Linked DNA regions of Ovis aries. The protein of the gene in region 6 purifies or fractionates together with the protein of the main gene of each other region. This does not show direct contact. Links are inferred from orthologs where the notes say so. Each region holds a gene or a part of one and is shown on either strand. Other genes may lie near its edges.

The links.
Region 1: the proteins of AKT1 (region 6) and CDC37 purify together in Homo sapiens (affinity purification with western blotting; 5 studies listed by BioGRID and IntAct, with this or other methods). This does not show direct contact. The link is inferred for Ovis aries from reciprocal best matches to the Homo sapiens genes AKT1 and CDC37.
Region 2: the proteins of AKT1 (region 6) and APPL1 purify together in Homo sapiens (affinity purification with western blotting; 3 studies listed by BioGRID, with this or other methods). This does not show direct contact. The link is inferred for Ovis aries from reciprocal best matches to the Homo sapiens genes AKT1 and APPL1.
Region 3: the proteins of AKT1 (region 6) and ARRB2 purify together in Homo sapiens (affinity purification with western blotting; 4 studies listed by BioGRID and IntAct, with this or other methods). This does not show direct contact. The link is inferred for Ovis aries from reciprocal best matches to the Homo sapiens genes AKT1 and ARRB2.
Region 4: the proteins of AKT1 (region 6) and ILK purify together in Homo sapiens (affinity purification with western blotting; 3 studies listed by BioGRID). This does not show direct contact. The link is inferred for Ovis aries from reciprocal best matches to the Homo sapiens genes AKT1 and ILK.
Region 5: the proteins of AKT1 (region 6) and TUBB purify together in Homo sapiens (affinity purification with mass spectrometry, with the first as the bait; 3 studies listed by BioGRID). This does not show direct contact. The link is inferred for Ovis aries from reciprocal best matches to the Homo sapiens genes AKT1 and TUBB.
Region 7: the proteins of AKT1 (region 6) and CHUK purify together in Homo sapiens (affinity purification with western blotting; 5 studies listed by BioGRID). This does not show direct contact. The link is inferred for Ovis aries from reciprocal best matches to the Homo sapiens genes AKT1 and CHUK.

The regions. Positions count from the first base shown.
Region 1 is NC_056058.1:12,781,905-12,786,406, forward strand, and holds part of CDC37 (hsp90 co-chaperone Cdc37), read right to left. Parts: intron 3,988-4,502; coding exon 3,706-3,987; intron 3,359-3,705; coding exon 3,250-3,358; intron 3,145-3,249; coding exon 3,029-3,144; intron 2,686-3,028; coding exon 2,563-2,685; intron 1,966-2,562; coding exon 1,783-1,965; intron 1,693-1,782; coding exon 1,429-1,692; 3' UTR 1-1,428. UniProt on the Homo sapiens protein: Co-chaperone that binds to numerous kinases and promotes their interaction with the Hsp90 complex, resulting in stabilization and promotion of their activity. Inhibits HSP90AA1 ATPase activity.
Region 2 is NC_056072.1:43,971,876-43,977,111, forward strand, and holds the start of APPL1 (DCC-interacting protein 13-alpha), read right to left. Parts: upstream 3,367-5,236; 5' UTR 3,232-3,366; coding exon 3,178-3,231; intron 1-3,177. Other genes in the region: HESX1 (homeobox expressed in ES cells 1), read left to right, coding at 4,762-4,796. UniProt on the Homo sapiens protein: Multifunctional adapter protein that binds to various membrane receptors, nuclear factors and signaling proteins to regulate many processes, such as cell proliferation, immune response, endosomal trafficking and cell metabolism.
Region 3 is NC_056064.1:26,521,472-26,525,771, reverse strand, and holds the start of ARRB2 (beta-arrestin-2), read left to right. Parts: upstream 1-1,500; 5' UTR 1,501-1,587; coding exon 1,588-1,610; exon of another isoform or gene 1,611-3,596; intron 3,597-4,300. UniProt on the Homo sapiens protein: Functions in regulating agonist-mediated G-protein coupled receptor (GPCR) signaling by mediating both receptor desensitization and resensitization processes.
Region 4 is NC_056068.1:46,197,381-46,200,725, reverse strand, and holds the end of ILK (integrin-linked protein kinase), read left to right. Parts: coding exon 1-55; intron 56-238; coding exon 239-335; intron 336-428; coding exon 429-512; intron 513-611; coding exon 612-697; intron 698-815; coding exon 816-925; intron 926-1,034; coding exon 1,035-1,162; intron 1,163-1,257; coding exon 1,258-1,379; intron 1,380-1,442; exon of another isoform or gene 1,443-1,474; coding exon 1,475-1,574; intron 1,575-1,681; coding exon 1,682-1,812; intron 1,813-1,981; coding exon 1,982-2,131; 3' UTR 2,132-2,394; downstream 2,395-3,345. Other genes in the region: TAF10 (transcription initiation factor TFIID subunit 10), read right to left, coding at 2,443-2,532, 2,716-2,830, 2,919-2,983, 3,220-3,345. UniProt on the Homo sapiens protein: Scaffold protein which mediates protein-protein interactions during a range of cellular events including focal adhesion assembly, cell adhesion and cell migration.
Region 5 is NC_056073.1:27,415,477-27,420,515, forward strand, and holds the start of TUBB (tubulin beta chain), read right to left. Parts: upstream 3,167-5,039; 5' UTR 3,000-3,166; coding exon 2,943-2,999; intron 1,569-2,942; coding exon 1,460-1,568; intron 1,204-1,459; coding exon 1,093-1,203; intron 813-1,092; coding exon 1-812. UniProt on the Homo sapiens protein: Tubulin is the major constituent of microtubules, a cylinder consisting of laterally associated linear protofilaments composed of alpha- and beta-tubulin heterodimers.
Region 6 is NC_056071.1:66,959,147-66,962,410, reverse strand, and holds the end of AKT1 (RAC-alpha serine/threonine-protein kinase), read left to right. Parts: intron 1-759; coding exon 760-862; intron 863-1,228; coding exon 1,229-1,308; 3' UTR 1,309-2,185; downstream 2,186-3,264. UniProt on the Homo sapiens protein: AKT1 is one of 3 closely related serine/threonine-protein kinases (AKT1, AKT2 and AKT3) called the AKT kinase, and which regulate many processes including metabolism, proliferation, cell survival, growth and angiogenesis.
Region 7 is NC_056075.1:20,875,364-20,879,634, forward strand, and holds the end of CHUK (inhibitor of nuclear factor kappa-B kinase subunit alpha), read right to left. Parts: exon of another isoform or gene 3,250-4,271; intron 3,196-3,249; coding exon 3,096-3,195; intron 2,351-3,095; coding exon 2,321-2,350; 3' UTR 1,159-2,320; downstream 1-1,158.

The DNA.
Region 1 (4,502 bases), on a different chromosome or scaffold from region 6:
ATCCCCAAGCCCGCTTTCTGCTCTTTCTACGTCAGAGCTGTCTGGGAGGAGGGTAAACTGTAATCTTTGTCTGTAATCTGTGCTATCCAACATGGCAGCTACCAGACGTGGGTGCCTACTGAGTACTTCGAATGTGATTGGTGCAAGGCAAGGACAGTGCTTGAAATTTTACTTCATTTATTTTTTAATACATTTATTTGGCTGAGCTGAGTCTTAGTTGTGGCATGTGGGATCCAGTTCCCTTACCAGGAATCAAACCTGGGCTCCCTGTACCGGGAGCGTGGAGTCTTAGCCACTGGATCACCAGAGAAGTCCCTGAATTTTACGTAACTTTAATTCAAAGTTAACTTCCCAGGTGGAACTAGTGGTAAAGAAGTGAAGCGAAAGCTGCTCAGTCATATGTGACTCTTTGCCACCCCATGGACTATATAATCCATGGAATTCTCCAGGCCAGAATACCAGAGCGGGTAGCCGTTCCCTTCTCCAGGGGATTTTCCCAGCCCAGGAATGGAACCCAGGTCTCCTGCACTGCAGGCAGATTCTTTACTGTCTGAGCCACCTGGGAATCCAAGTGGTCAAGAACCTGCCTGCCAATGCAGAAGACATCAGACACCGGTTCAACTCACAGGTCGGAAAGATCCCCTGGAGGAGGAAATGGCAACCCACTCCAGTATTATTCCCTGGAGGATCCCATGAACAGAGGAGCTTGGCAGGCTACAGTCCATGGGGTCACAGAGTCAGACGTGACTGAAGCAACTTAGCACAAACAACTCAAATTTTAAAAGTGTAGGTCTAGAACAAGGGTCAGCAAACTTAAAAAAATAAAAATAAAAAGCCAGACAGCAAATATTTTTGGCTTGAAGGTCCTGTAGCCCCTGTCAAAACCTCTCATTCTATCACACCTCAATATGGCTGCAGCACAAAATCAGCTACAGACAAGATGAAAATAACCCAGCCTGGCTGCTGCGGTTCCAGCAAAATTTTATTTACAGACAGGCAGTGAACCTTTGAGCCAGACTCTCTGAAGACCCTTGGTCTACATGCTTATCCCCATAGAAGCTTTTAGAAACCCTGAGCTGGTCTAGAAACTAGATCCATTTTACAGAAGGGAACCAGTGTGGCCAACCAGTGAGCTAAGCAGCAGGAAGCGGCTTAAACAGAGGTTCGTTAAGACTCAGGGTACTTATCCACCAGCGCTGTTATTGCTCCAAAGAGCTGAGGTTTGCCAGCGCGAACCACATACTTGGCCCTGCTTACGGATTTTGTGAGTTAATATGTTTTTTGAGAGAGACTGGTTTGATGGGGTAACTGAGACTGTGGAGCGGACCGCTCCGAGTTGCTGGCAAAGGTAGTGTCAGCTGGGTGAGCTCATAAACAGCCCACAGGGACAGGGACACTCAATCTAGATGCTGGGCACATAGCAGCTGCTCAACAAAAGTGAGAGAGCGTGGGGCATGAAGCCTGGCTGTCTTGTGTGCCGGCCACATGGTGACAAAACCTCCCTGGCTCTTTTGAGAAGCCCAGGAGGGGTACTGCCAGCAGCAACGTGGTCAGCAGGGCTGGAGGAGGTGGGGGAGACACACTGCCTGACCAGGTGGGCTTGGGTGTGTGGTTACTCACGGTGGGGTCCATCTTGCTGATGGCGTCTTGGAGCATCTGCACATCCTTTGCGTCAAAGCATTTCTGAAGTTCCTGTGGGTGCAGGGGGCGGGGTCAGGGCCTGGGTCCCAGGGATCCTGCTGACAGCCCACCTGCCACCTGCCAGGGTCTGGGGAGCCTCACCTCAGGAAGGGACTCGTAGACCTCGACAGGGTCCAGGCCGCCGGGGCCAAGCCGCTTCTTGCGCTCCTCTTCCTCGTATTCCTTCATGGCCTTCTCAATGCGCAGCTTGGCACGGCCCCGCACGCGGTCTTTGAAAGCCTCCAGCTCGTCATTGAAGCCCTCCATGTACTGGCGGTCGGCAGTCTGCAGGGGAGGGACTGTGTTCACCAGGGGAGACTTGGGAGCCCAGGACCCTCCCAGTGCAGGTCCTCAGGGCGCCCAAGGGCTCCCCACAGCTGGTCCTGAACTAAATCACAGGTACTCTGAGGCTCAGGCCTCTCCTCTGCTCTGTCTAGCCTCCTCTGTCTTCTCTGAGCTCAGCCTTATACCCCTGTACTTACAATCATCTGACTGAATGTCCCCTTATACTGCAGACTCGTGGCACCCACCTCCTCCACATCCTCCTGTGGAGTCTCGAAGGCACCTCAAACTCAACACAGCTGCCCTTAATCATCCTCCGGTCTGCCCTGAATCTCCCCTAGCTCTGCTCTCCAGGTGTTCAGGTAAGAAACCCACAGGCGCTCATGACTCCGGCCCTCACCTAGGTTGGGATTTTCAGCACGTGCTGCCAGCTTAGCTTTCCAAATCTCCACTGGAGCCACCCACTACCCAGCTCCTCCACGGACTAATCCTCTGCTGATGGATGAGATTCTGATCACAGAGGCTTGAGTCCGAGTGGATCCGTGTCTGCCTCCCCCAGTGGCCCGCAGGCTGGATCCCTGAGGAGGACCACCTCCCTACCTTGATCTTGGTGAAGAACTGCCGGAAGCAGGCACGGGGGTCCACCTTGAGGCTCTTGGCCAGCTCCAGGATGAACTGCATGACGATGGTCTGGTGAGCCACCTGCTCCATGAGGGCACATTTCTGCCAAGGGAGGACAGCGTCACCAAGTGGCAGGCTCCTGTCCCCAGCCCCCACTGTGTGAAAACACAACTTGCACTTAAATCTTATCCGTGGCTTACTTGGACGCTGGTCTTAATATTTAACTTCAATGTAAAATTAACGCCCTTTTCCCCCTAAGAGATAATGGTATGGCTTCCTATATTAGACTCCAGACAGTGTTTAAAAATACATTCTTTTTCCCTTCATGCCTACTGTAATTTTCTGAACAAACATGAATGATGAAGAGAATTTTAAAAATATGAGAAAAAAAAGGCAGAGCCTTTTGGGCCCTCCCAACCCCCCACTCAGCACTGTCTGCACACACCTCCTCCACCTCTAGGTCAATGCACCAGATGACCAGGTAGTTGGCTGTCTCCTCGCACACCAGGTGGACGTTGTCTGACAGGTACTTCTGGCTGTCGTCCCAGCGGCGCAGCATGCCTGCCAGAAGGTGATGGTGAGGTGCTCCAGCCCCCCCGGACGCAGAGGGCCAGCCCTCCCTCACGCGCACCACCCACCTGGAGCCCACGCCTGGGCCCAACTCACCGAAGTGTTTGATCTGTTTCTCATACTTTTCCACGAAGGTTTTGTGTTTCTGCTCCCTCACCTCTTCCGACTCCTCCTCTGCCTGCTCAGGCTTGGTGTTGACCATGCTCTGTGGTGAGGCGAGAAGGGGAGTGGGCTGGGGCGAGGCTGCGGCCGCGGGGCGCCTCGAACGTGGCCGGGCCGGCCGCGGCCGCAACGCCCATCCCATCCACAGCGGAGGCGGTGACGGTGCCGTGCACATCAGTGTGGCGTGGGCGTGGCAGGTGTGGCCTCGGACTGGGGCCTTCGGGCAGATCAGAGGGAGGGGTACTGGTGGAGTGCCTCACCGGCCAGGCCCCCCACCTGCTCTCTTCCCCTCCGGCACTACCCCCCTTTCCACCAGCATCCATCCATTCCTGGACCTGCGCAGTGCTCCCTGCCCCTGCCCGCTGCCCGTCAGGCCCAGGCCTCGCCAACCTTGCTGAAGCCATCCTTGCTGAGCGTGTCCACGTTCCAGGGCATGCTCTTCTCCTTCTTGCGCATCTCCTCCAGCTTTTGCTCCCAGCTCCGCTCCTCCTTGCGCAGCTGCTGCGCCTCAGCCTGCAGCCGCTCCAGCTCGGCCTTGCCGCCCTCGCCCTCGGCCACCTCCAGCTCCTTCAGCTTCCGCTGGCACTCGGCCACCTTGCGCTTGCACTCGCGGCAGCCCCTGTCCAGTTCCTCCTTCTCTTTCTGGAACTGCTCCATGCGCTCCACCCGGGCCTGAGGGTTGGGCATGGCCCGTCACTCTGGGGAAGAGCTTAGCCCTGTCCCCGGCCCCGGGCTCTCTAGTCGCACCTGGGATAACCCCAGAGAAGGTCCACACTGACCTCCACGCACTGGATGCCCGGCTCCCGCTCTCACCCCTAAGGTAGGCTTGAGCCAGGGCGGGTGCCTTCTCTGCACTGAAGCTTCTATGGCTGCCGTCCCCAGAGGTCCAGTGAATAAGAATTCGCCTTCCAACTCAGGGGAAAGTGGTTTGATCCCTAGTTGGGGAACTAAGATCCTAGTTGGGGCAACTAAGCCAGGGTCACAACTAAAGAGCCTGTGTACTGCAATACACAGAATCAAAGATCTTGCGGCACAAAGATCTTGTGTGCCACAACTAAGACTCAATGCAGCCAAGTATATATATAAATGTTAAAAAAAAAAAAAAAGAACCTTCTATGACTCCTACCTCACTCGGAGCAAAAGCCTAAGTCCTCCCCGGAGCCCATAGAGCCAAGCACAACCTGTCC
Region 2 (5,236 bases), on a different chromosome or scaffold from region 6:
AACAGACTGGTTCCAAATTGGGAAAGGAGTACGTCAAAGCTGTATATTGTCACCCTGCTTATTTAACTTATATGCAGAGTACATCAAGGGAAACACTGGGCTAGATGAAGCACAAGCTGGAATCAAGATTGCTGGGAGAAATATCAATAACCTCAGATACGCAGATGACACCACCCTTATGGCAGAAAGTGAAGAAGAACTAAAGAGCCTCTTTTTTTTTTTTTTCTAAAGAGCCTCTTGATGAAAGTGAAAGAGGAGAGTGAAAAAGTTGGCTTAAAGCTCAACATTCAGAAAACTAAGATCATGGCATCTGGTCCCATCACTTCATGACAAATAGATGGGGAAACAGTGGAAAACTTTATTTTGGGGGGCTCCAAAATCACTGCAGATGGTGACTTCAGCCATGAAATTAAAAGACGCTTACTCCTTGGAAGGAAAGTTATGACCAATCTAGACAGCATATTCAAAAGCAGAGACATTACTTTGCCAACAAGGCTACGGTTTTTCCAGTGTCATGTATAGATGTGAGAGTTGGACTATAAAGAAAACTGAGCGCCGAAGAACTGATGGTTTTGAACTGTGGTGTTGGAGAAGACTCTTGAGAGTCCCTTGGACTGCAAGGAAATCCAACCAGTCCATCCTAAAGGAGGTCAGTCCTGGGTGTTCATTGGAAGGATCGATGTTGAAGCTGAAACTCCAATACTTTGGCCACCTGATGTGAAGAGCTGACTCACTTGAAAAGATCCTGATGCTGGGAAAGATTGAAAGCGGGAGGAGAAGGGGATGACAGAAGATGAGATGGTTGGATGGCATCACTGACTCAATAGACAGGAATATGAGTAAACTCTGGGAGTTGGCAATGGGCAGGGAGGCCTGGCATGCTGTAGTCCATGGGGTCGTAAAGAGTTGGACATGACTGAGCGACTGACCTGAACTGATGCTAGATAAACAGTCTAGAGAAGAACAAAAATTTATATCCCAAAGCATTAATCTGAGCTCTCTATATAAACTACAAAAGTACAACAGGACAACCATATTAAGCCAGTCAAGGAAACACACGACCTTTGAGTTGTTTATTCAGTATGTGATAATGTGTGAAGATACTTAAGTTATCATGTGTAGTTAGAGCCAAATAAAAATCATTATACACAATATAATCTCAATCACATTAAAAGGTGTAAGAGAAAGGAAAAAAACCCACAAAAAAGAAAGCAAAGCATTAACAGAGTTTACTCCCGAGTGCTGGACAGGTAATTGTGCTTTCTGTACCTTTAATTTTTCTGAAGCAAACAACTATTATTTTTATAATCAAGTACAAAGACTAAAATTTCACTATCTATAACAGCTGAAATTTAGAGAGTTAAGTGACTTGCCATAAAGTAGAAGGTACCAACTGGCAGTAAAGACTATATCCTAAATCCCAAATCCAGGGCTTTCATTCTTGCCACAAGTTTTCTCCTAGAATCGCTTCCCAGTGTTTTCCCTTTCTAAATCCCAGTTGTCCCAATTAACTTTCCCAAATAAATATTAACTAGTTCAGATTTATTACTTCTAGAAATTGAAAGACTATCAATGTGGCTCTTTCATTAAAAATTAATACTAATATGGCACATGCTTGTAAAAAACAGAAAAAAAATACAAAAACCTAATGCTCAAGTTGTAAACTTACTGTGTGAAAAAATCAAGAAATTAGATAAGTTAACATTATACCCTCCTCATAAGTCATGGCTAAGGGCACTGTGAAACCCATTCTGGGCAGTCTTTATGAGCAGCTATAAAAGCCAGGCCAGGGAAGAGAAGAAAGGTAAGGCAGCCTGTTGAGTCTTATAAAAAAGTAAAACGACAAAGTGTACCTGACCAATGCATCCCACAAAATTTTTGCTAAACATCTGAAACAAATGTAGCTTATAACTTTATACTACGGAAGTCATTAAATATTTGAACTGGCTATTATTCTGGCAGTCAAAATAAGCCAAGTCGGTCTCTCTTTGTGTCAGTATAGGCTGATAAGAGTACATTACCAGCAGGGATCGGGCCTGTGAAGATAACTTTCAGCGTAAAAAAAAGCCCAATCAATTCTACAATCAGAGCCCAACTCCAACCTGGCAGTCAAAACTAGCACCATATCCATGGCAGACAAGTCATACAGGAAAGTGGGATCTAGCCTCTCCCTCCTGTTCTTCTGGAGTCATTTAAACCATTAAGACACAGGAAATATCTGCAACTGTAGTTCTAAATGAACATTTCAGAAAACTGTCTTCATTCTAAGTGGTAGCCCAAGAGCAACTTCGTCTCGAATCCCTTATTGTGTAAGAAGACAGGCCCAGGGATGAAGTTTCTCAGCCCAAGTTTCAGCCCCTACTAGCATGTTTTTTTTTTAACATAGCTGATTTCATTCTTCAGCACTGAAAACATAAGTCCCTGTTACGTCTTCCTATCTTAAGGAAGAGACTATCTTAAGCTAGAGCAACCACACCAGCATCATCCCCAATGCACAAAACATGGGGCTTTTATTTTGATGAGTTTACTAGAGCCAAGTCTGCAACCCGGGCGCAGCAGTCGTGGAGCCGCAAAGGCGCCGTCCACCTCTCGGCATGCACGGCCCGAGTGACAGCGGCTGCACTCAGGGTCACGACGCTCGGCCGGGAGGCTCCGGGATCCGTGACGGGCTTCGCCGACGGCTTTCCGCGCGGGCTAATCAACAGACTTTCAGTATTTTTCCCTCAAAATTGTCCATTTCCTTCCCTAGCTTGATCAGAAATCATTAAGTCTACAGGGTCGTTTTTCCTCCTGCATTTCCTCCGAAGAGGTTTTCGAAAAGAAAATTCCAGGATCTGGATTTATCACCTCACATCACGGCAATTAAAAAGCATCTTTTGTCAAATACCAGGGAGCCCCGGGCGCGTAGCGACCGCCGGGCCCATCAGCCACGGCGGCGGCGGTTTGGTCGCCGCCCGCCGACTCCCAGACCCCGAGCGCGGCTCTCGGCCCAGCGACGCAGGCCCACGCGGGCCTCGGGAGGGCGGCCCGGCCTCGGCAGCTCCGGGCGCCGCCCGCGACCGGCAGGGATACTGGGGGGCGGCGCCCACCTGGGCCAGGGCGGGCACCTGCGGCCGCGGCGGGGCCAGGCCTGGAATCTGCCAGCCCCGCTCCTTCCCTCGCCTCCCGCCGCCTAACCTGTGGGCTGTCCTCCAGCGTCTCCTCGATGGGCAGCTTGTCGATCCCCGGCATCGTGGCAAACGGAGGGCGGCGGCAAGAGACGAGGCGGCCGCCCACAGCTCCCCGCACCCGCCCGCCTGCAGCAGCTGACCCCGACCCGCCCTCTCTCGCTGGCTCCACCGCCCTCGCCGGGCGCCGAGCGGCCGCGCGATGGCGCGGGAAATCCCGCCCCGCCGGCCTGCCTGCTCCGCCTCCCTGCCCGCTCATTGGCTCACGACGACGCCCGTCAGCGCAGCGGGGCTAGCCCGGAGGTTCCTTCGCTGCTCCCGGCTCCGCTGAGATGCAGGGACTTGGAGGAGGCGAAGGCGGCTGAGGCGGCCTTCTTTGCGCACCTCGACACCTACCCTTCGCGAGCGATTGGCTATAAATCGTAGGGGACCGTCTTACCTCAGCAAAGCGTGCGTCTCCTGGAACCAGAGCTTCGAGTGAGGACCGTTCTGGGGAAATTGGGGCTGTTTTACTTCTCCCTCAACGTTTTTCGTCAGAGACCACGAAAGAGGCCTCTCTGCAGGCGCCTTTAGTTTCCAAAGATTATAACCTTCTCAACTGCCCGCAGTGTCCAGTCTCCCCTCTCCAGCAAAATGGTGCTGGCTAACTCAGATATCTGCGAGATTAGCTGTGTTGTTAACTTGGCTTTCTGGTAAATTCGTGGATAGTAGACTCGAAAAGAATTTTTTCTGAGCACTTGGGTATCAATATATGCATTGAAAAACCCGACTTTGCTGCCAATTCATCAGTTCTTAGCTGTCCTTGAGAGACTGACATGCCGCAATTCAGACTTCCATATTTCTTATTAATCATAAGTGAAAATATCTTTTTAAAGTCAGGGTACACTGATTTATTATGTTAGTAACTGATTTTAGCATTTCTGTTAAAGTTTTGGAAGAATATTTAAATAGCTTCTTCAGCATCTAACTTTTTTTTAATAAGAGAGATAAGGTGAGCTGTACTTCTAGAACTTGATCTGGATTAGAACTCCTGCCTCTTTTGTCCATCTTTGTGTCCAGATTCTTCATGGAAGAATCTTTATACAGAGAAAATGGCAGAATTACTAGTGTCTTGTAAATACCTAGCCATTAATCCCACTAGTCCATCCCATTTTCATTCAAGAAATATAAGAAATGCCGAATAAAGACTATTAGTTGCCCAGTTCCACAGATAAATTGGAATGAATCCAGGTACGGTGGAACAAATCCAAATACAGTAACTGGAATGGAAGTTACTTTAAAATACGAGATTTTCCCAGAATCTCTTAAAGGAAAAATCAAATTTAAAAAGTTTTCCCAAGTAGACTTGCAATGTAGTTTCATGGGATTATTCATAGCTTTCAATAACTTTGAGTAAGGGCTCTCCCCTTAAATTGTTTATCAGCGAGTCACTCTGTATATGAGATCTTTAGTTTCTGAAAGGTAGTTTGGAGTCAGTTCCTACAGTGTTACTGGTTGCCAGCTGCTTGAAAGTACCTGGCATCGGCATGGTACAGATCTCAGCAGCACAACTCTGGCCTTGGACATTTCTTGTCTACTCTATCAGCACAGTGGCATGCAACCTGACTCTGAATTAAGAAGACTTTCACAGTAAGTGACATTCTTGGTTGAACTGTGATTAGATTGTAAGTGAAGGAAAAGAAAGTTAGTGACAATTGATGAGAATCAGGAGTAAGTGACAAATGGAAAAAAAGTGTAAGAAAGAAGAGTAATTATACGGTGTAACTGAAGTTTGGCGTTTTGGCCAAGCTAAATAATTCCAATGAAAAATTATCTTAGGTATCTGAATTACCTGGGTGGGGTATTATCAAGTTAAATGGTTTCCTTTTTTGTATGTTCCATGCTTCTAAACTGTATTTTTGTAAAGGGTTCTCAAGAGGCTATTATATTATCAGAGAGGAGCAAGGAATTCTTCCTGGGTTCAACTGATTAAAAAACAAACAAAAACAAGTTGACTATTCAGTTGTGTGGAGAGGCAGTTCAGTCAAATTATAAAACTAGAAAGACTCTTAAAAGGCTTTCTACTTGGA
Region 3 (4,300 bases), on a different chromosome or scaffold from region 6:
ATTCTATTGTTCATCTTCTCTCCTTGATTAGTTTCAGTCTATGACAGTGTGCCCCACTCCCTTCACCCTCCACACTGCCCAGAATTGTCTTCCTAAAGGAGAAGTCTCATCATGCCACTCCACTCCTTGCCTTAAAGAGCAGATCCACTACTGGATCCACGTGTCCTCCTCCAGGGGAGGCTCCTGGCTCATTTCTTTAGCTGCTGAGCTGCTCCTGCTCAGTCATGTCCGAGTCTTTTACGATCTCATGGACTGTAGCCTGCCAGGCTCCTCTGTCCATGGGATTTTCCAGGCAAGAATACCAGAGTGGGTTGTCATTTCCTACTCCAGGGGATCTTCCCGACACAGGGATCGAACCCACATCTCCTACATTGGTAAGTGGATTCTTTACCACTCCATCACCTGGGAAGCCTCATTCCTTTACCTGCTATACAAAATCCTTCACACCCTGTTCCAGTCATCCTCTTCAGCCTTCTCTCTCCTGCCCTCTACTCCCACAAACACCTCATTATAGGATGTGCCTTGCTTTTCTCTGTCTTTGGAATACCCTTTCTTAACTTCTGCCCACACTTCAGAAAGATTATCCTCAAACGTGCCCTCCTCTGGACAGCCTGCTCTGCCTCCATCCCTCCCCAGCCAAGCTCTGGGAGTCACTTTGTCTTCTGAGTCATACCTCTATTATAGCATTCCTGGAATCATAATATCTCTTCATATGTCTCCTCAACCATACGAGGAAGGCAGGGGTGATGTTAATTCATGTCTGAGTTCCCACTGCCTAGTATAGTGATTAGCACAAAATAGACATGGATAGATGTATGGACGGATGTATGCATGAATGGATGTTAACTTCGATGAATGGATGGAGAAGAGTAGTAAGAGAATTTAGAAGTAACCCTGCGAAGATCAAAGAGAGACACCAGAGGGAGCTGACACACCACAATAAAGAAGTGGGAGGGAGGGCCAAAGACGGCTACAGGCTCCGGGGTGAGCGGCGCGCAATAGGCGAGCATCTCGCAACTGGAACCGCTCACCACCTGTGCATCCCCTTATCCTCCTTCCTAGACTGTGTTCGAGCTCACCCACTGCCCCCACCACCCCCGTAGCCTCCAACGCCACTGAGAAAGCAAACAAAGGGGAGGAAACCCCTGCAGGGTGCTTGATGCAGGGAGCCAATCAGAATGCTTTAATCTCCTGGAAGGCGGGCGCCTCCTTTTGAGGGGGCCCAGTTAGTTCCTAAACGGGTGCGGAGGGGCGGAGAGATGGGCGGGAGTAGCAGGGTGTAGAGACCGCGCGCGGGGAGGGATCCCTCCGCAGGGGTCGGGGTGGAGGGCGGAGGGGGCGGGCGGAGCCAATCACCGCGCGTGCCTGTAAGGAGAGGGAGGGCAGTGCCGTGGCGCGCGCAATCCGGCTGACGCATCTGGACTCCGTTCTCCAGATCCAAGTTGGGAGGGGGGAAGGAGAGGCGGGGGTAGTGGAGAGAGCGCGGGGGCGCGCGTGCGCAGTGGCGCGGGGAGGAGCAGGGACCTGGCAGCGGGCTAGGAGGCTGTGAGCTATCCGCGAACCGGGCGGGCGGCGGGCGCGCGCACCATGGGGGAGAAACCCGGGACCAGGTAAGAGAGGTGGGGCCATTCGGCGGGACGTGGACGGCGGCACCGGGCGGGTGCCGGGACGGTCCTCAGACAGGAACACCAGGGAGAAAATTCGGGGGCCGGACGCCTGGGTCCCTAGGGGACAGCCATTCGGGGCCGCACGCCTAGGTCCTCGAGGATAATGAGGGGAAGGCATGCCACAGTCCCTGCAGAAAGCGAGGGCTGAAGATCAAGAAACCTGCATCGGGCTTCTCGCAGAGATGTAGGGGGCCGGACGACTGGGTTCTCCGGTGCAGCCTGCGTTGCAGGGGCGGAGGAAGGAGCAGGTGGCCGGCCCGGAGGGGACGGGTGTGGGCAGACTAGATGCCAGGGGCGGGATCCCCCGAAGACTCGTGCCCAGCCACTTGAAAGCCTCCTATCCAGTACCCCACAGGCAGTCAGACTGCCCCCACCGGCCCCAAGGGCCGGGTGGCTCTGCTTCCAAACTTCTGCTTTCCCCCGGGTTGCTAGGAGCAACAGCTTCATTTTGGGGGAGCAAAGAGTGCTTGACGACCCTCCCCAATTCTGGGCCTTATCCCTCTTCCCGTGAGTGAGGGGAGGCTGTATCTGCCCAGGGCACGCCATCCACTCCCCGGATGTTTTCTGTGCAATCGAGGCTCCTTCCTTCCACTGACACCCCGAGTTCTCTTTTTTGGTCTCTAGCAAAATCCACTTCCTGTTGTGACCCAACACCTCCGGGGGTGAATGCCTGAGTCTCTGGGGAGCAGGAGCAAAAGAGGGAAAAGATTAGGGCTATTTGCTTCTCTCCAGAGAGGATCAGGAATGGGGGCCTGGTTCTGAGCTGTCACTTGTTCTGCAAAACATTTTACCAGCCCCACAGCTCCCCACCCATAGAATAGGAAATCACAGGTTCCCGAACACCCAGTCGATTGATACTGGAGAGGTGATCAGAAGGAGGACTGGTGTCCTGGATTAGGGGTTAAACACAGCAAAAGGGGAAGTCGCTGACTTGAGGGAGGCCCCAGATTTCCGTTATGTGGTTCAGGGAGGGGGACGGATGGACCACACAGGGACTGCTGACTTGGCACAATTCCTCCCACCTCCATCAAATTCTGGGCCACAGGAAATGGAGAGAATAGCAGGAAGTGTGAAGGGGCATCTGCTTCTGCTGCCCCCTCACCCACTCGGCACCTCTCAGGTCACCCCAAAACTCCGCCTTCTTGGCCAGCCTCACTATACACATGCTTGCTCCTCCCTAGCAGGCAGGAGGCTGGCTGGGTTAGGATCCAAAGGGCAGGTGCCCTGCAGCTGCTTCAGGGCAATTACTCCAGAACCACACTCCAGTTGTCCAACAGACTGTGGCTGTCCCAACCCTCTGCCAAGGACTCCTAATAGGAAGAAACACTGGGACAGAGAGGAAAACCAGAAGCAAAGGGGAGGGAGAGCTGAAGGCTGCCACAGCAGTCAGCCCCCAGGTGGGGACAAGAGATAGGGTGCTTATCCTAGTTCCCACCATACCAGTGTCTGCCCTCCTTTCCTCGATGGGGGTACCTGGGGGCCTCTGTACCCTATGCCTTGTGGTCTTTGGATAGCTTGGCCTTCTGGGAAGAAGGGGCATGTGACTTTGTTACAGTGGATGGGCCAGGTGGCAGGATTTCAGTTTCTACTACCTGGGGACCCTTCCTGGGTATCACTGCTGAGGCAGAGTGGATTGGTAGGAGTAAGGTGGGGCAGCAAAGAACAGGCCCACAAGTGGCCAGGGCACAGGGGTTGCCAGACATCTCCCTATCCTCCCAGCAGTGGGTGGAGTCCAGGCTTAGACCATTTCAGCAACCAGAAAGCGGAATCTCCTTCACTCCAACAAACATAATGCCAAGAACAGAGGCAGGATAGTACAATCATTTAGTGATGAAGAGCCAGAGTACCTCTGTACCCGAATTCCACCATTTACACTCTCCGTGACCTCAGGCAAAATACTTGACCTCTCCTGGGCTTCAGTTTCCTCACCTGTAAAATAGGAATATTAGGACCTCCATCACTGGGTTGCTGAGAGCATTAAATGCAGTCACACACCTGAAACACTTGGCACACTACAGGGCATGAACCATACACCCATAAATGTTAGGAAGCATCACGGCGTCTGGCTTATGGCTGCAACTATGCTGGGGATGCCTGAATCAGTAAGGCCTCTGTTGCTCACAGTCTAGTGAAATACATGATACACAGCTAACTGCACATTATCACACTACATGTGTGCTAAGTCCAGTTCTTTGTGACCCCATGGACTGCAGCCCACCTGGCTCCTCTGTCCATGGGATTCTCCAGGCAAGAATACTGGAATGGGTTGCCATGCCCTCCTCCAGGGGATCTTCCCGGCCCAGGGATCGAACCCTTGTCTCTTACATCTCCTGCATTGGCAGGCGGGTTCTTGACCACTAGCACCACTTGGGAAGCCCTATCACACTACAGGTAAAGCATAAACAAGGTGTGACAGAAACCCCAAAAAAGGGAGTGACTAGAGTGGGGCTGGATCTACTTTCTAAAGGAGGTGACATCTGAGCTGGGCCTTGAAAGACAAATAACATTTTAAGCTGCTGAGATCAGAGACAGGGACAGTTGGAGGTTAATGGAGAGTAGGGTCACACTTAGAAACCTCCCATAATAGAAACCAATTTAGAGCCACTGCTCTTTCCAGTATTCCAGCTCTTGTG
Region 4 (3,345 bases), on a different chromosome or scaffold from region 6:
TGGGAATGTGCCCCTGCACTATGCCTGTTTCTGGGGCCAAGATCAGGTGGCAGAGGTGAGTACTCAGGCCCTGAACTCTGGGATGGGTGGGAAGAAGTTTGAGCTTGAGTGGGAGACTCTGGAACCCTCAACCCATCCTGTGAGTACTGTCCTGTGTGCAACATTCACAAGGTTTGTACTGCATCTGCACTCATGCTTAGTTGGGAATGCCCTCATCACAGCCATCTCTTAATTCCAGGACCTTGTGGCGAATGGGGCCCTTGTCAGCATCTGTAACAAGTATGGAGAGATGCCTGTGGACAAAGCCAAGGCACCCCTGAGAGAGCTGCTCCGAGGTCTGTCCCCACCCACCGCTGTGTCCTCGTCTTGTCCTAGCCTGTCTCTTTCCACACAACAGCTGAGGTCAAGACTTTGTCTTTCTTCCCCAGAGCGGGCAGAGAAGATGGGCCAGAATCTGAACCGTATTCCATACAAGGACACATTCTGGAAGGGGACTACCCGCACTCGGCCCCGTGAGTCAGCTGTGAGGGGAGGGGTGGTGAGAGAATAGTCCTGGACTCCTGGGGCTGGGAAAGAGGGAAGCTGGGTGCCTGACCTGCCCACACTCTCAGGAAATGGGACTCTGAACAAACACTCCGGCATTGACTTCAAACAGCTCAACTTCCTGGCGAAGCTCAACGAGAATCACTCTGGAGAGGTAACTCCCCACCCCACCCTATTACCTGTTGTGCACCTGTTTTAAGTCTCTCCTCCAGTTAGTGGGCAAGAAAACAGTGGCCTTAGTTAAAGCCTTCTAACCCTTATCTGTCCCTCAGCTATGGAAGGGCCGCTGGCAGGGCAATGACATTGTCGTGAAGATGCTAAAGGTTCGAGACTGGAGTACAAGGAAGAGCAGGGACTTCAATGAGGAGTGTCCCCGGCTCAGGTGGGGCAAGGCCTAAACTGGAAGCCTTGATTTCAAGGAGCCCTGTCAGCACCCAGAGGGAGATCTTTTATGCTGGATCTCAGCCAGGGGCATTCTCTCCCTCTTCCAGGATTTTCTCACATCCCAATGTGCTCCCAGTGCTTGGTGCCTGTCAGTCTCCACCTGCTCCTCACCCGACCCTCATCACACACTGGATGCCATACGGATCCCTGTACAATGTGCTACATGAAGGCACCAGTGAGTAGGGAGTGCCAAATCTCACTGCAGCAGGGTGTGGGGAAGGAAAGTCTGTGAGCCTCTCCAAATGATTTAACTCTTGCCTTCTCACTTAGATTTCGTTGTGGACCAGAGCCAGGCTGTGAAGTTTGCATTGGACATGGCAAGGGGCATGGCCTTCCTACACACACTAGAGCCCCTCATCCCACGACATGCACTCAACAGCCGTAGTGTAATGGTGAGATCACAACTTCACTCCCGGCCCAAGCCCCAGAGGTCCTTTCCCTAGAATAGGACTTACCTCCTTCCACACAACTATCTTCTCTTCCTCAGATTGATGAGGACATGACTGCTCGAATCAGTATGGCCGACGTCAAGTTCTCCTTCCAGTGCCCCGGGCGCATGTATGCACCTGCCTGGGTGGCTCCTGAAGGTGAGTGATGGCATTATGATGTGAGGCAGAGAAGGGGCAGCTCAGTAGTAATGGAAGGGAACACAGACAGGACAAGCAGCTGGAACAGATAAGTCCTATCCCTCTAGCTCTGCAAAAGAAGCCTGAAGACACAAACAGACGCTCAGCAGATATGTGGAGTTTTGCAGTGCTTCTGTGGGAACTGGTGACACGGGAGGTACCCTTTGCTGACCTCTCCAACATGGAAATTGGAATGAAGGTGAGAGCATAACTGGATATACTTGTGGTGGTAGTGACAATAATTGTAGTGGGGCTGGGCTCCTGCCACATTGATTCAAATACACAGAATCCTGTCCTGAGGGCTAGACGTCTCTCCCGACATGAGACTCAAGTTCTGAGACTCACCTTGTTTTTCCTTGTGTTTGCAGGTGGCATTGGAAGGCCTTCGGCCTACCATCCCACCAGGCATTTCCCCCCACGTTTGTAAACTCATGAAGATCTGCATGAATGAAGACCCTGCTAAGCGGCCCAAGTTTGACATGATCGTGCCTATCCTGGAGAAGATGCAGGACAAGTAGAGCTGGAAAGTCCTTATCTGAACTCCAGAGGTGTCAGGACACGGTTAGGGGAGTGCACCTCCCCAAAGCAGTAGGCCTCTGGTTGCCTCCCCTGCCACTAGTCATGGTACTACCCCAGCCATGGGGCCCATCCCCTGCCCCCATCCCTACCACTGTGGCCCCAAAAGGGAATGGGCTCAAAGCTTTGTCACTTGCCACACGGTGTCTCCCAGCATGGGAGGGATCAGCCCTGCCTGTCACAATAAAGTTTATTATGAAAACAGGCTGGTGTGGGGACAAGAGAACAGACAAGTACATTTAGACTGGGTGGCTCAGGTGAAGTAGTGCGGCTTCTTCACATTGATGCCATACTCGCTGAGGGCAGGGGTCAAGTCCTCCATGGTTAGAGTGTACTTGCGGTCCTGAGGGAAGAGGGAAGAGCACCAGCTGAACACAGGAATTCCAGATTTCAATCCCAGGCAGGTGACCCTGAGTAGGTCTTTCACCTCCCCTAAGGCTTAATTTCCCTCAAAGGGGTTTCAGGATAATTTAAGCCTCTGCTGCTGTAGGAAGTAATTACTGAATCAATGAGCCTCCCCTCACACCTTGCTCTTGCTTCGGGAGCTGCCAGAGGCTGTGCCCTTCATTTTGCAGTGCTGTAGGGCATCGTTGGCAATATCTGAGATGAATTTCTGGGCAGCTAGGGAGATGAGCCGAATTCTGGAGAGAAAAAAATGGTATGAGAAGAGCATAGACAATAAACTCCACACAAACACCCAACACTCTAACCTGCCCAGAGTTTACTCACATGCGTGGGTCGGAGGCCTCAAAGCCAGCACGGTTCAGGTAGTAACCAGTCACTGCATCAGGGATCTGAGAAATCAATTAGACGACTGTAAGCGTTAGCCCTGTGTACAGCGGGGCTGAGAGTCGGGGTAAGGGAAATGGAGGGCAGGCCTGGCTATCAGGAAGCTCCCAGTTTGGGTGGGCAGAAGGGAAAAATCACAAAAGCTAGGAAGAGAAACACAAGAGGATGCTGCAAATCCAGATGGTGTGGCAGAAGTTGGCGTGACAGCGAGTCATTAGCCTTGTTCAGGCAGGAAGCCCACCGTAGGCGTGTAATCCTCCAGCTGCATCAGGAAGTCCACTAGAGGCGTGCTGGACACCACTGGCTTCACCTCTCCGTTGGCCGCGCTTGGCAGCACGTAAACCCCGTTAGACATGGCCCCCTCCGG
Region 5 (5,039 bases), on a different chromosome or scaffold from region 6:
CATCTTGAGACCACGGGGTGGGATGTCGCAAACAGCTGTCTTGACGTTGTTGGGGATCCATTCCACGAAGTAGCTGCTGTTCTTGTTCTGCACGTTGAGCATCTGCTCATCTACCTCCTTCATGGACATCCGCCCACGGAACACAGCAGCCACGGTGAGGTACCGGCCATGGCGGGGGTCACAGGCAGCCATCATGTTCTTGGCATCGAAGACCTGCTGGGTGAGCTCAGGGACAGTGAGGGCTCGATACTGCTGGCTGCCACGGCTGGTTAGAGGGGCAAAGCCAGGCATGAAGAAGTGGAGGCGTGGGAAGGGCACCATGTTGACGGCCAGCTTGCGGAGGTCAGCGTTGAGCTGGCCAGGGAAGCGGAGGCAAGTGGTGACTCCACTCATGGTGGCCGAGACGAGGTGGTTCAGGTCTCCGTAGGTTGGTGTGGTCAGCTTGAGGGTGCGGAAACATATGTCGTAAAGGGCCTCGTTGTCAATGCAGTAGGTTTCATCAGTGTTCTCCACCAGCTGATGGACGGAGAGGGTGGCATTGTAGGGCTCAACCACAGTGTCGGACACTTTGGGTGAGGGCACCACGCTGAAGGTGTTCATGATTCGGTCAGGATACTCTTCACGGATCTTGCTAATGAGCAAGGTGCCCATTCCGGAGCCAGTACCCCCACCCAGTGAGTGGGTCAGCTGGAAGCCCTGCAGGCAGTCACAGCTCTCGGCCTCCTTCCGAACCACATCCAGGACCGAGTCAACCAGCTCGGCTCCCTCTGTATAGTGGCCCTTGGCCCAGTTGTTGCCTGCCCCGGACTGACCTGTGATGGGGTTAAAAGGCAAACTTGTTCAGTCAAGTTTGAAAGATACACAACCCCATTTCTACCTTTCAACTTTTGGATTAAGGCCAGTGGATTTATCTTCCTTCTTACTCCCCGATGATACATCTGCCCCTATATAATTTGCTATCTAAATTACTACCACCACTCTCCATTAGATTTAAAAACACAAGTCTGTATAAACTCAAGTACAATCATTTCTAACTCTCACTGCACCCAAATAACTCGATTAGCACTATCTATTGATATTTCCCTAACTCACCAAAAACAAAGTTGTCTGGTCTGAAGATCTGACCAAAAGGACCTGAGCGAACAGAGTCCATGGTTCCGGGTTCTAGATCCACCAAGATAGCACGAGGGACATATTTGCCACCTAGAAGAAATAAAGTAGAAGAGTGAAAACTGGAAGACATAGAGATAAATAAATTGGGGCCAAGAGAGCCGGGGACCCATATGTGTGATTTCAGACACTGCCACCAGGTGGCAGCAGAGACACTGGGAAAAGCGAGAAAGGTCTCCAGTGAGTGTAGATAGATTCATTCAAAGGGGGTAAAAGGTGTCCCGGGGAGGCAGAGACCCCAAAGAAGTGGGAGAGATGGGACCCCTGCTTCCCGGGCTCTTGCCCTCACCTGTGGCTTCATTGTAGTACACGGAGATGCGGTCCAGTTGTAGGTCGCTGTCCCCATGATAGGTGCCGGTGGGGTCGATGCCATGTTCATCACTGATTACCTCCCAGAACTGCCAGGGAAGAGCAAAGAGTCTTCAGCATCTCAGGGTGCAGCCAATTATGCTCCCCTACTGCCATTTTAGCTCCAGATTCGCCTGTGGCGGGCCCTCCCCAAAGATCTAGCATTTCTTCTGCCTGCCACACCCTTCCCCTAGCCACATGCACCTTCGGGGAAAAGGCAGCTTTCACTGCCTGGGACGTGAGATGCTGTGTGGCTTAAAGGGTCCGGGGATTGCGCGGGGTGGGTAGATGGAGGTAGTCACCCTGGGCACAAAGAGACGGGGCGGGGAGGGGTGCAAAGAAAAGGAGGCACTGCAGCAGCCCACCCCGCCCTGCACGTGACCGCGGCGCACGCACGCGCCAGGCGGCCGACAAAGGGAGGTGCCGCGCGAGGGCGGGGCCGAAGGGCGAATTCCGCGCGCCAGGGGCGGGGCTTGGCTCGGGCTCGCGCGCCCCCCGCCGGCCAGCCTGGCCGCATTGTCCCAGCGCGCCAGGGGCGCCCGGGTCCCGCCCTTCTGCTACAACGTAGCAGCCGCACTTCCTCCCTGCCCCTCCCCCGCTACACTGTAACCGCGCGCAAAAAAAAAAAAAACCCTCCCCCTTGGCCTCGAAATTTCATTTCTTTGCTAGCTTTTAACCCCCTTGCTTTAAATGAGGTTTTTCTTCCTTTGTCCTATTCTCTAGCTCTGAGGAACCCCTTCAAAGAATGGACTCCCTTTCCTTCCTCGCCCTTTCTCCCTATCTGTCCACGCCCTTAAGAGTCTGTTAAGGGGAAATAAAAGGAACAAATTAGTCTAGCACATATTAGCCTTCCATGCACGAAAAACTGCGGGACCGCCCCTTGGGGATCGCGAGCGCCCGGAGATTCCTGATCATTTGTAAAGGATATCGCCCAGCCCACCTGGCTCAGCGCGCCCCTACATTTGGATCTGACCTCTCGGCAGCTGCCCGCCATCCTCGCCCCTTCCCCCCTCTGGGTTAGCCCCACGAAGCCCCGCCAAGGGGGATGCACATGGGGAAAACCTCATCCAGCTTTTGTCTCGGGCCGTTTCCGCATCTCCCTCGCTCCCCGGTCCTCGGACCGTTAGGAGATCCCCTTTCTAAGTAAAATTTTACAGAAACTCGGTTTTCCCGCCCCCTAACCCTGAAGGGTGCTTTTAACAGCTTCCCCAAAATAAGCCTGCCAAGAAAAATAATTCCTCATTTTTCAAAAGCAAATCCTAAGGTTCAAAGGTGCATTTATATATAAAAGTTTTGAGGGGCAAATCTGGACTAAGAATGGAAGATGCAAACGTTCTACAACCATCCGTCATAATATACCTGTTTGGATTTGTTTTTTTTTTCCTTAAAAATAAATACAGTCAAAAGAGGTTAAAAATCCTTACCTTGGCACCGATCTGATTGCCACACTGACCGGCCTGGATGTGCACGATTTCCCTCATTGTTAAAATTTATTCTAATCTTTTTGCTCGCCTCAAAGTATGTACGGGGCAAAAAAATAATACGGAATTAGTTTTTCTCTGCTGCTGGTCGCAGGGTGAAAAGATGGAACGGGACCCGGAGGCTGAAGCAGCGAGGTCCGAACGCGGCGGCAGGAAGGTTCTGAGAGGGAGAAAGGAGAGGGGAGGGCGCGGGAGGAAAGGCGGGCAGGGCGGGGCGCGCGTGCGCGGGGGCCGGGAGGCGGGAGAACTCTCCGCGCGCCGCGGTGGAGAGACAAAGCCTCACTAGGCTGGCCCTGATTAGTCCGTGCCGGTCCTGTATCACAAGTCCATTGGTCCTTGCTGGACGAGCGCAGTCCTGCCTGGGAGTTGTAGTTCTCTATTGTTGTCCACGCTGCAAAATGAAAGGACGAATGGGTGGGTACTGGGTCTGGGGGTTTTGGTTTAGGTGTTTTGACTGAAAAACGGCCTGGCGCTAGGGTTCCTTCCTCTATGCCTGACTCTTCTGGTATCAAAAGAGAGTAGTTTTAGCAGGGTACAGGAATTGGGAACCCTGGTGTGCCAGGCTTTGGAAGGTGGAGTGAGGGCACGCCCTGAAAGCTCCCCGCTGCGGTAGCTCTTGGGAAGACAGGACTGCTTAGCTCAGCGAAAACGGGGAGAAATGCGGCACCCTGATCTGCTATCTAACAGCTGGTCCCTGGTGACCCAACTGGCATGAACTCCAGTGAGCTCCGGCTCCCCCAGATATCTCGGGAAGGAGGAGGGCATTGCCTTCCTGCTATTTCCTTGGGAGCTTTCTAACGATAATATTTAGAAAGAAACAAAATTGCATCAAGGACTTTTCAGTATAAAAAGTAATTGTTTGGAAGGTATGTTCAAGAATAGAGAAGCAGATATGCCGGAAGTCTCCGTCCATGTGGGGAATCTGCGCCTTAGAGCAGCGTTTAACACAGTTTTGTCAAGAGGCGAACTGTGGGGTGAGATACCTGATAGGCACTTTGATGAAGTCAGTGTTTTTTCAACTCGCTGATTTCACTGAGAGGTGGTTGACCATTGCAATCTTTCAAGAACCTCGGGATTAAAATAAAAGTAGGGAGGGTGATGGGAAAAAAATGGATGAGCTCAAATCTGAGTGGCATGTTTCTTCTCAGGGATTAATTCAACTTGAGCGATATTAAATGTCCACCAAAGGAGCTAGGATGAAGGATTAGCTCACTGGTGGCTCAGGCGGTAAAGCGTCTGCCTACAATGTGGGAGACCCGGGTTCGATCCTTGGGTTGGGAAGATCCTCTGGAGAAGGAAATGGCAACCCACTCCAGTACTCTTGCCTGGAAAATCCCATGGACGGAGGAGCCTGGTAGGCTACAATCTATGGGGTCGCAAAGAGGACACGACTGAGCGACTTCACCTTCACCTTACCTCACTGTCCTCCAGGATCTTGCAATTTGGTGAGAAGTGTATAACCACTAGTGTGGTAAGCACCATGATTAAAGGACATGGGATATCAGGCTCCGTATGTGCTCAGTCATGTACGACTCTTTGCGACCCCATGGACTGCAGCCCGCCTGGCTCCTCTGTCCATGGGATTTCCCAGGCAAGAATACTGGAGCTGGTTGCCATTTCCTTCTCCGCGGAATCTTTCCGACCCAGGGATCGAACTCGTTTCTCCTGCGTCTCCTGAATTGGCAAGAGAGCTGTTTACCTATGAGGCACTTGGTTAGATGATAGCAAGGTGTTAATTCACACTGGATTCAACACACATTTCTCATCTTCTAAATAAAAGAACATAAATTTCTGTAAAACTCGTCTACCCAGTTAAAATGTTTATGTTTGAAGGCACAATCACAGTGAAAGTAGTTATTTTGTGGTAGTGAAGAGAGTTCAGAATTCACGATTAAACAGTTTCAGTTTGTCTCTAACAGCCGTAGGAGCCTAGGCAAGCTAACTTCCGCAGAACTCTTATTTCTGGTCAGAACGAAGTGAGAATACTAATGCAAAAGGTCCTCCTAAATTATTCCTGTGAAATTGTCTTAGTATGAAATT
Region 6 (3,264 bases):
CATCTCACACCCCCACCAGCTCACGCCCCCACCAGCTCGCACCCCCGCCTGCTCGCGCCCCGTACATGTGAAGAGGCTTTCGAGGACTGAGGCAGCATGCTTCCTGCACATGTGGTTCTGTGCTTTTGGCCCTCTGTGGGACCCACAAGCTCCAGGCCCTGGCCCGTGCTGGCAGCGTGGCTGACAGACCCAGGAAGGTGGTCCCTAGGCTTGCTAGGTGTCTCTCCTCAAGCCCGCTTCCACCCTGTTGTCAGCGCACCCCTCCTCTGCAGGCTACACGCAGCCAGCTGGACCTCTGTCCCTGAGACGGGGCTCCCCGATTCTGCCCTTCTCCAGCCAGGGCCCTGCCCCAGGGCCTGCTGCCTCCTGGCCCTGCCTTTTGAGGGCTCTGGTGCCAGCCCTGACCCAAGACCCAGCCTGCTAGTTGCTGCTAGTTCCCAGGCAGACCTGACCCTGGGCCAGGGTGGAGCACATGGGGGTCCTTGCTTCCTCCCATGAGTCTGGCCCTTTAAAGCTGCCCTCGAGTCCTGGGTCATGGTGGGTCCTCTGCAGCCTGACGCTGCCTGGCCACTGATGCCCAGGGCCGAGAGTGAGGTGGGCAGCCCTGCAGGTGGGTCCCTGAATGGCGAGGTCCCCTAGGGCACCCAGGCAGGGGAAGGCCTGGCCACAGGCTTGTCTTCTGGGTGGGGAGCCGTGTCTGGGTCCAGGTGTGCCGGGCAGTGGGAGCAAGGCCCGTAACCCACCCCCCGCCTCCTGCAGCTCAGCCCGCCCTTCAAGCCTCAGGTCACGTCTGAGACGGACACCAGGTATTTTGATGAGGAGTTCACAGCCCAGATGATCACCATTACGCCACCTGACCAAGGTGAGGGTGGCCCTCCCCGCCGACCCCTCAAGACAACAGAATTCTGTTCAGCATTTTACTGGGCGGCTCCCTCTCCTGTTAGGGGAGAAGGCACTGGCACCCTACTCCAGTACTCTTGGCTGGAAAATCCCATGGACGGAGAAGCCTGGCGGGCTGCAGTCCATGGCGTCGCTAAGTCAGACACGACTGAGCGACTTCCCTTTCCACTTGCCCTCTGCAGGGTGGGCGCCAGGGCCGCAGTCCCCTGGTCCCAGCATTGTGGGGGCGGGGGTCGCTGAAGCTTGCTGTGGAGTCTGGGGGGGAGCCCTCGGGGCCTGCCCCGGTCTCCGCAGTGCCTGGGAGCTGAGCCGCCCCTCCTGTCCGCAGACGACGGCATGGAGGGGGAGGACAGCGAGCGGAGGCCGCACTTCCCCCAGTTTTCCTACTCGGCCAGCGGCACGGCCTGAGGGGCCTGCTGGGCCGAGCTCAGGACACCGCCGCGGGCAGCCACGTGCTCCGGACGACGCGTCCCGAGGACTGGGAGGAAGCCTTGCACGGAGGATCTGTATTTAATGTTTTTTTATTTCTGGATGCGTTTGGGTGGAACCACGCCGTCCGCTAACACGGATGGGGAGGCGCCCCATGCCATGGGCAGGGCCGCCCGCACTGGGGGCAGAGTGCCCCTGGCCAGCCAGCTCGGGAGGAAGACGTCCTGCGGTTTCTCTTAATTTATTCATCCAGTTCTCCAGACGCTGCCTCCGCCTTTGGAACGATTAGATTCCTGTAGGAAAGCAAGGACTTCTGCAGCCACGGGCTCACCGGTCCCCGTGGGCCCTGCCCGTGGCCCCTCTGTCCGTCCGTCCGGCCAGCTGTCCCCAGCTGCCCCCACCTCCCCCGACCCCACAGCCCCAGAGGCCATCTGGCTGTGGGGTGCTGGCCCAGCCCCCTCGCTCGGGAAGGGGCTGAGCAGAGGCTGCAGGAGGGCGGCCCCCACGATCAGGCTGGGCCAGGGCTGCGGTGAGATAGAGGGGTCGGGTGCCACCTGTCGCTGTCTGTGTGTACTGGGGTTTCTGATCTCAGGAGAAAGCCCTCCCTGCGCCCCTTTCCCACTGGGACCGGCTCCCCGATGGCTCCCCCGGTAGCACGTGTCCTTCTAGAAGCTTCACTCCCGCTGTCGCCCGGGCGCTGCCCGGCGCCCTATGCAGGGGCCATCGCTGTGCCCTGTGTGCCTCCTGGCCAGACGCTGCGCTGCACCAAGGCGTTTTTTTATACTCAACTTTAGTATTTTTACTATTATGAAACTTTCCCTCCAAATTCTTCAATAAAAATTGCTTTTCAACTCTGGCTCGCCTTGCTGGGTGGCGGATGGAGGTGCATGTGGCTGACCTCCCGACAGGGCACACGTGGCCTTCCGGAGCCCGAGGCGGCCTGCCTGGAAGCCCGGGGACAACCTGAGATGGGGTCCCTCACCCGCCTCTGGCAGGATTCGCTGGGGAGTCGGAGGGAACGCCCTGGCTGCCCCTGTGCCCACGGCTTCACCCCAGCCCCACACCTTAAGCAGGCCACCCAGGCTGCACAGCTGTCTGCCCAGCAGCACCATCCATGCAGCAGGCCTGACCACCAGGATGGACCGGGACCCTGCAGGGCCCACTGCTGGCTAGGACAGACACTCCAGCCACCGGCAGGCCCTGGGACCTGAGAGGACCAGAGGGCAGCCTGCCAGGGGTCACGCAGCAAGCCCGGGACAGCTGGGAGGGGCCCAGCGGGATGGGCCTCGGGCGCCACCTGGTGGGTGCAGAGAGACGTTGCCGCGCAGCGCCGGCCTCCGGGCGGGCCATCAGCACCTGCAGGGAGGGGCGGGGCCTTGCCCTCCCCTCTAGTGGACTCCGCCGTCTCTTCTCCAGGCTCCGGGGCAGGGGACCCTGACAAGGCATTCCTTGGAGTGGGGTGGCTGCCCGCTTCTGCTGGACGGGGTGCCTGAGCAGTGTGGGGTGCTGGAGGTCTGTCCAGGCCTGGGGGTGCCTCTGGAGCCGCCCAGTTCACTCTAGTATACAGCAGCTCTCTTGGAGACCAGACACGCCAAATGCTGCCTGCTGAGCGTGCTCTAGACCCATTTCAGAAACACACAGGCGGCTTCAGACTGGAAGCCTGTGCACTGTCGGTGGGAGCGCACCATGGCACGGCCCGTGGATAATGGTACGGAGGCGCCTCAAAGCAGAGCTGGGGCCACCACGGTGCCCGGCAGCCCCACTCCTGCACGCACGCATGTGCCCCAGAGAGGGGAAGGCAGGGTCGGGGAGGCGTGCATTTCAACACCATAGAACAGGGGGAAAGGTGGAGACCAGATGATACAGCAGTGCCCGGTGATCCCCAGACTTGAAGCAATGGCACCCCAATGTGGCCAGTGCGGTGTGGAAACCCGG
Region 7 (4,271 bases), on a different chromosome or scaffold from region 6:
GAAGCCAAGTGGTTAGTAAACTGCAGGCCCAAAGTTTCAGTAGTTGTAACTGGTGGAAATGGAAAGAGGTAATAGAATCAATTCAAATCTTCATTAAAGCAAGCCCTCCCAAACAACTTTACCTTTTCCCTTCAATAAATGCACTTACCTGGATCATCCCTTTGACTTTTACACCTAAGAATATATGGGACCTTGTCTGTACTAGATAAATGTTTGTTGCAGAGCTTAGCTATTTTGACCTACAAAAAGCAAAACGAATGAAAAATAACTCGTTTACTTCTGTTTTCTGGATGAATTATTTTAGTTTTTCATAGTATTGCTTGAATGAAATAGATATAATCCACAATTGAAATTCAACTCTGAAAACTGTCAACAAATAACAAATAGAGTGGTCAACTCATGTATCAAAAGCATATCTGAGGTGATCTCACTGTAATAGGCTGTTCTGACTCATACCACTTGCCTATATCATACAGATCAGGCTCTCCTGAGGTGGTATCAGCCACAAACCATAAAAATAGTCCCACCCTATACCAGGTCTTTTATCAGTTATTATAATGATATTTAGAAAATGCTCATTTCAAAAAGCCTTTAACAATAATTTCATTCCAAATAAACACTCTTATTGTACTGCCTGTGTTAATTTTTCTGATCTTCCCATTTTGCTCAGTTTCTTCCAAGCAACAGGCACCCAATAAATGTTTACTGATTAAAACCTTCTAGAACTGGAAGAAGCAAGAGAGAGACAGCCAGTTTTAATGGCTGGTAGCCAGAATGTCCATATTCAGAGAAACAGTAGTAGCAGTTGACTAAAAAGTTAGGCGAAGACAATCCCAAGGTCTCAAACTGAGATGACTGGAAAAATGACACTATTAGCAAAAATGGGGATGGTGTAACTAAGACAGCAGTTTTTAGGACATGGTATAAGCATAGTTTTTAGAAACAGATAGTGATGACAGGCCATCTCAGGAGAAAAGACTATATTAAAGAAGCTACCCAATACTGCCTTTACCGTAAGTCTGTTTCATTCCTAAGTACACTAAAAGCCTGTTATGTTACTCTGTGCTCCAACTTTGCTTCATGGAACCTTCACATTTTCTCAAAGCATATTCAATTATTCTGCTACAGTCTGGTTTTAATGAATAGAGATTCAGAAAGTAATTTAAAAATTGTTTAATATACAAAGTGAAAAACTGTCTAGAATACAAAAGCATTTCACATTTTTAAAACAAGTAATACCTTCTAAATTATTTAATAGACAATAGATCCACAATCCTTTATCTGAAACCCTGTCTGCGGCCATACCATCTTGAAGGCAACCCAATCTAGTCTTGAAACCCTTGGGGACAGATGCTTCAGAATTATGAAATTTTCAGATTTTAGAAAGGTAATTCAGTGCATATACCATACTACATAAACCTCAGGCAGGGTCTGTGCCAGCACCCTTCCCCCTAATAATCAAATACAGTAATATTTCTGCAGCAAAAGAAAAGAATATTCACACTAAATGGGATAAGTAGACTCACTGTCAATTCTTGTTGGATGTGCAAGCAGATGAATTTTGTCATCAATTTTATGAAAAATCTTGTTTTCAAAGATTTTTGGATTTTGGAATTATAGATAAAGAATGCAGATCTTTATAAATTTGTATGACAAGACATGAAAGATTCCTGAAAAGACCCATTTTTACAAATGAAAACAGATAAGCTTTCAAATACATTATAAATTAACAGGTATCTTCTCTTTGATATTATTAAATGTACATCTTAAATACATATACATATAGCACACTTAACATTTGGAAGAATCAATTGGTATTAAAGGCACAAATGCACAATCCCTTTCATAGGAAAGGGATACAATCAAATGTACAGTAAAATGGAAAATGGGATTAAACTCTCTTATGAGGCTGGGAAGAGCACTGTTAAGTGCAACACAAGTACAACACAAGCAGTCTCTTCCACAGAAACATAGGCAAACACTTTTTACTTAGAATACATGTTGAGATTTTCTTCTCTGTATACATTATTTTGGCCTTATGCCCAAAAGTTAAATGTTGAAAGAATCAGTTAAATAAGTAATGTTTTACCAAGTTTGAAGACAAATGGATTTAAGTCCACCGACTCATAAAATTCTATCTGTTCAGAAGTTAAAATTACCCAGAATCAAAATATTATGCTGTAAAATCATGTGGAGTTTCTGATCATAGTCATTTCTTCCATTGACTGGTATTTGAAGAATGGCTTCATAGGAGAAAAACAAATGTCTAACATGTGCAGCAACAACTTCATAGGTTTCAGGAGAGTCACTAAGTGGCAAGTCATTCTGTTAACCAACTCCAATCAAGACTCTAAAACCAGGCATGAAAAAGTTACCATTAGATGTTGACTCTAAGCAGTAGGTATATGGGTGTTCATTTTTGCAAGTTTTCTGTTTATTTGGAGATTTTATAATCAAAAGTTGAAAAACCAAAAATACAAATAAGTTACAATTAAAGAGTCTAGTTTACCTTAATTTCTACTAACAAAAAAAAATTTTCAAAGAGTTTTCAGATATTTGAAGCAAATAATGAAAGAGGAATAAACAAAGAATTAATATCAAGACTAAACATAGTAAAAGTTAATTCAGTAAATATTTTATTGTAGTTTCGCCAAGTTTTAACAAATCAGTAATTCATAGCAATCAAATCTTCATAAAAACACTTCTGTTAATAACCATATTAACATTATTCATTTTGCACACAACAGTTACTATATTTGAAGTACAGTACAAATTATGCCCCATCTTACTGGGGAAAACTGACTGCAGAAGCAAAAAAGTACAGACCATTTGATTTCAGTGGTCACACTGCAAAGAAAGCTCACCAATCATTTAACTTGACCAAAAATGCTATTAAAGATTACTGATGGTATAATCCTAGTATATCCATGAGTAAGAGAAGATGGGGAGTTGAGGTTAAGCATTCCTCAAATGCTGTTTGCTCTGAGTTCTATTCCCCAACTGAATCCCAAACACCAGATAAGTCCAGCATGGAAAGTTAAGCCCTTTGCACCCAACACACTTAAAACACACATCCATATTCATATAAAACTTACCATCATACTGTTGCCCTGTTTTTCATTTGCTTCATGAATAATAGTGCTTAAATGGCCAAGACAGTTCAAATTTTCTTCTATCATTTGTGCTAAAGTCTCCCTGTCGAATGAAAGCAAAAGGGCATATGAATTTCCTCTACTTTCTGATTTTCAGGGTCAGGATGATACTGCTCTTGCTACAACACCACAACCCAGCAACCCAACACAGCTGATTCCTGTTGTCTTCAGTTTGCTCATCCCTCCCACCCAGAGGCAGAGTCCTGTTTGTTACTCCAGGCTGCTGCCTCTGCCCAGCTCTAATGATAAGGAGTCCACTATAACGCCAATCTGATTTTCCTCTGAAATATAAGTAGCACTTATATACAACTTTTCCCCCCTGAAAATGCTCACTCGGGGAAAAAGAGATCCTGTGGCACAGCCAGATGAAAGATCTCTTTTTGTTTCTGGAACATTTCCTTTTCCTTACAAGTAGTAAAAACATCAGCATGCTTACTTCTGAGACACAAATGTAGGGGAAGAGACAGAAAAGATAAGCTATCTTTTCTGCAAAGATTAGGGAAGGTGAAAAAAACTGTGGAAAATATAGATAACAGCAATGAAAAAGAAAAGCAAGCTGATTCCTGACGACAGCAGAAGAAAACTATGACGGGGAGCTGCAAAGAACAAAGAAGTATCCTTGGAAATTTGAAGACAATCCTGAATCTGATTTCTATCTTCTATACTTTCCTCTTCCATATGGCCTCCATCCTTACCTTTTACTAACCCTCAGTCCCTACCCCAGTAGAACCAATTCCAGGCCATGGAAGATGGTCACTGTTAGCTTAGAACTAAATTCTCATTCAGCTTATTCAACAGATAGAAAAATTGAGGTCAACAGTCCCCAGTCCTTGGTGGTTAAGTACCACAGGTATATTATTACTGAAACCAGTTTTCCTTTTGGAAAATATATTTTTAAATTCCTGGTGAATATATTTTTGCAAACAATCATAACCTCACACTGAAAATCACTTGTATAGAGGTAACATTTGCAACCATTTGCATTCTCTAATAAACCCAAGTGTCTCTAATGAAAGCAAAAAGATATTAAAGTTTATTTGTATCAATTCTGATTAATGAAATATTTCCTAAAGTCCATATAACTAATTATAGTCTATGCTCTAGCTGTGGATGTATTAC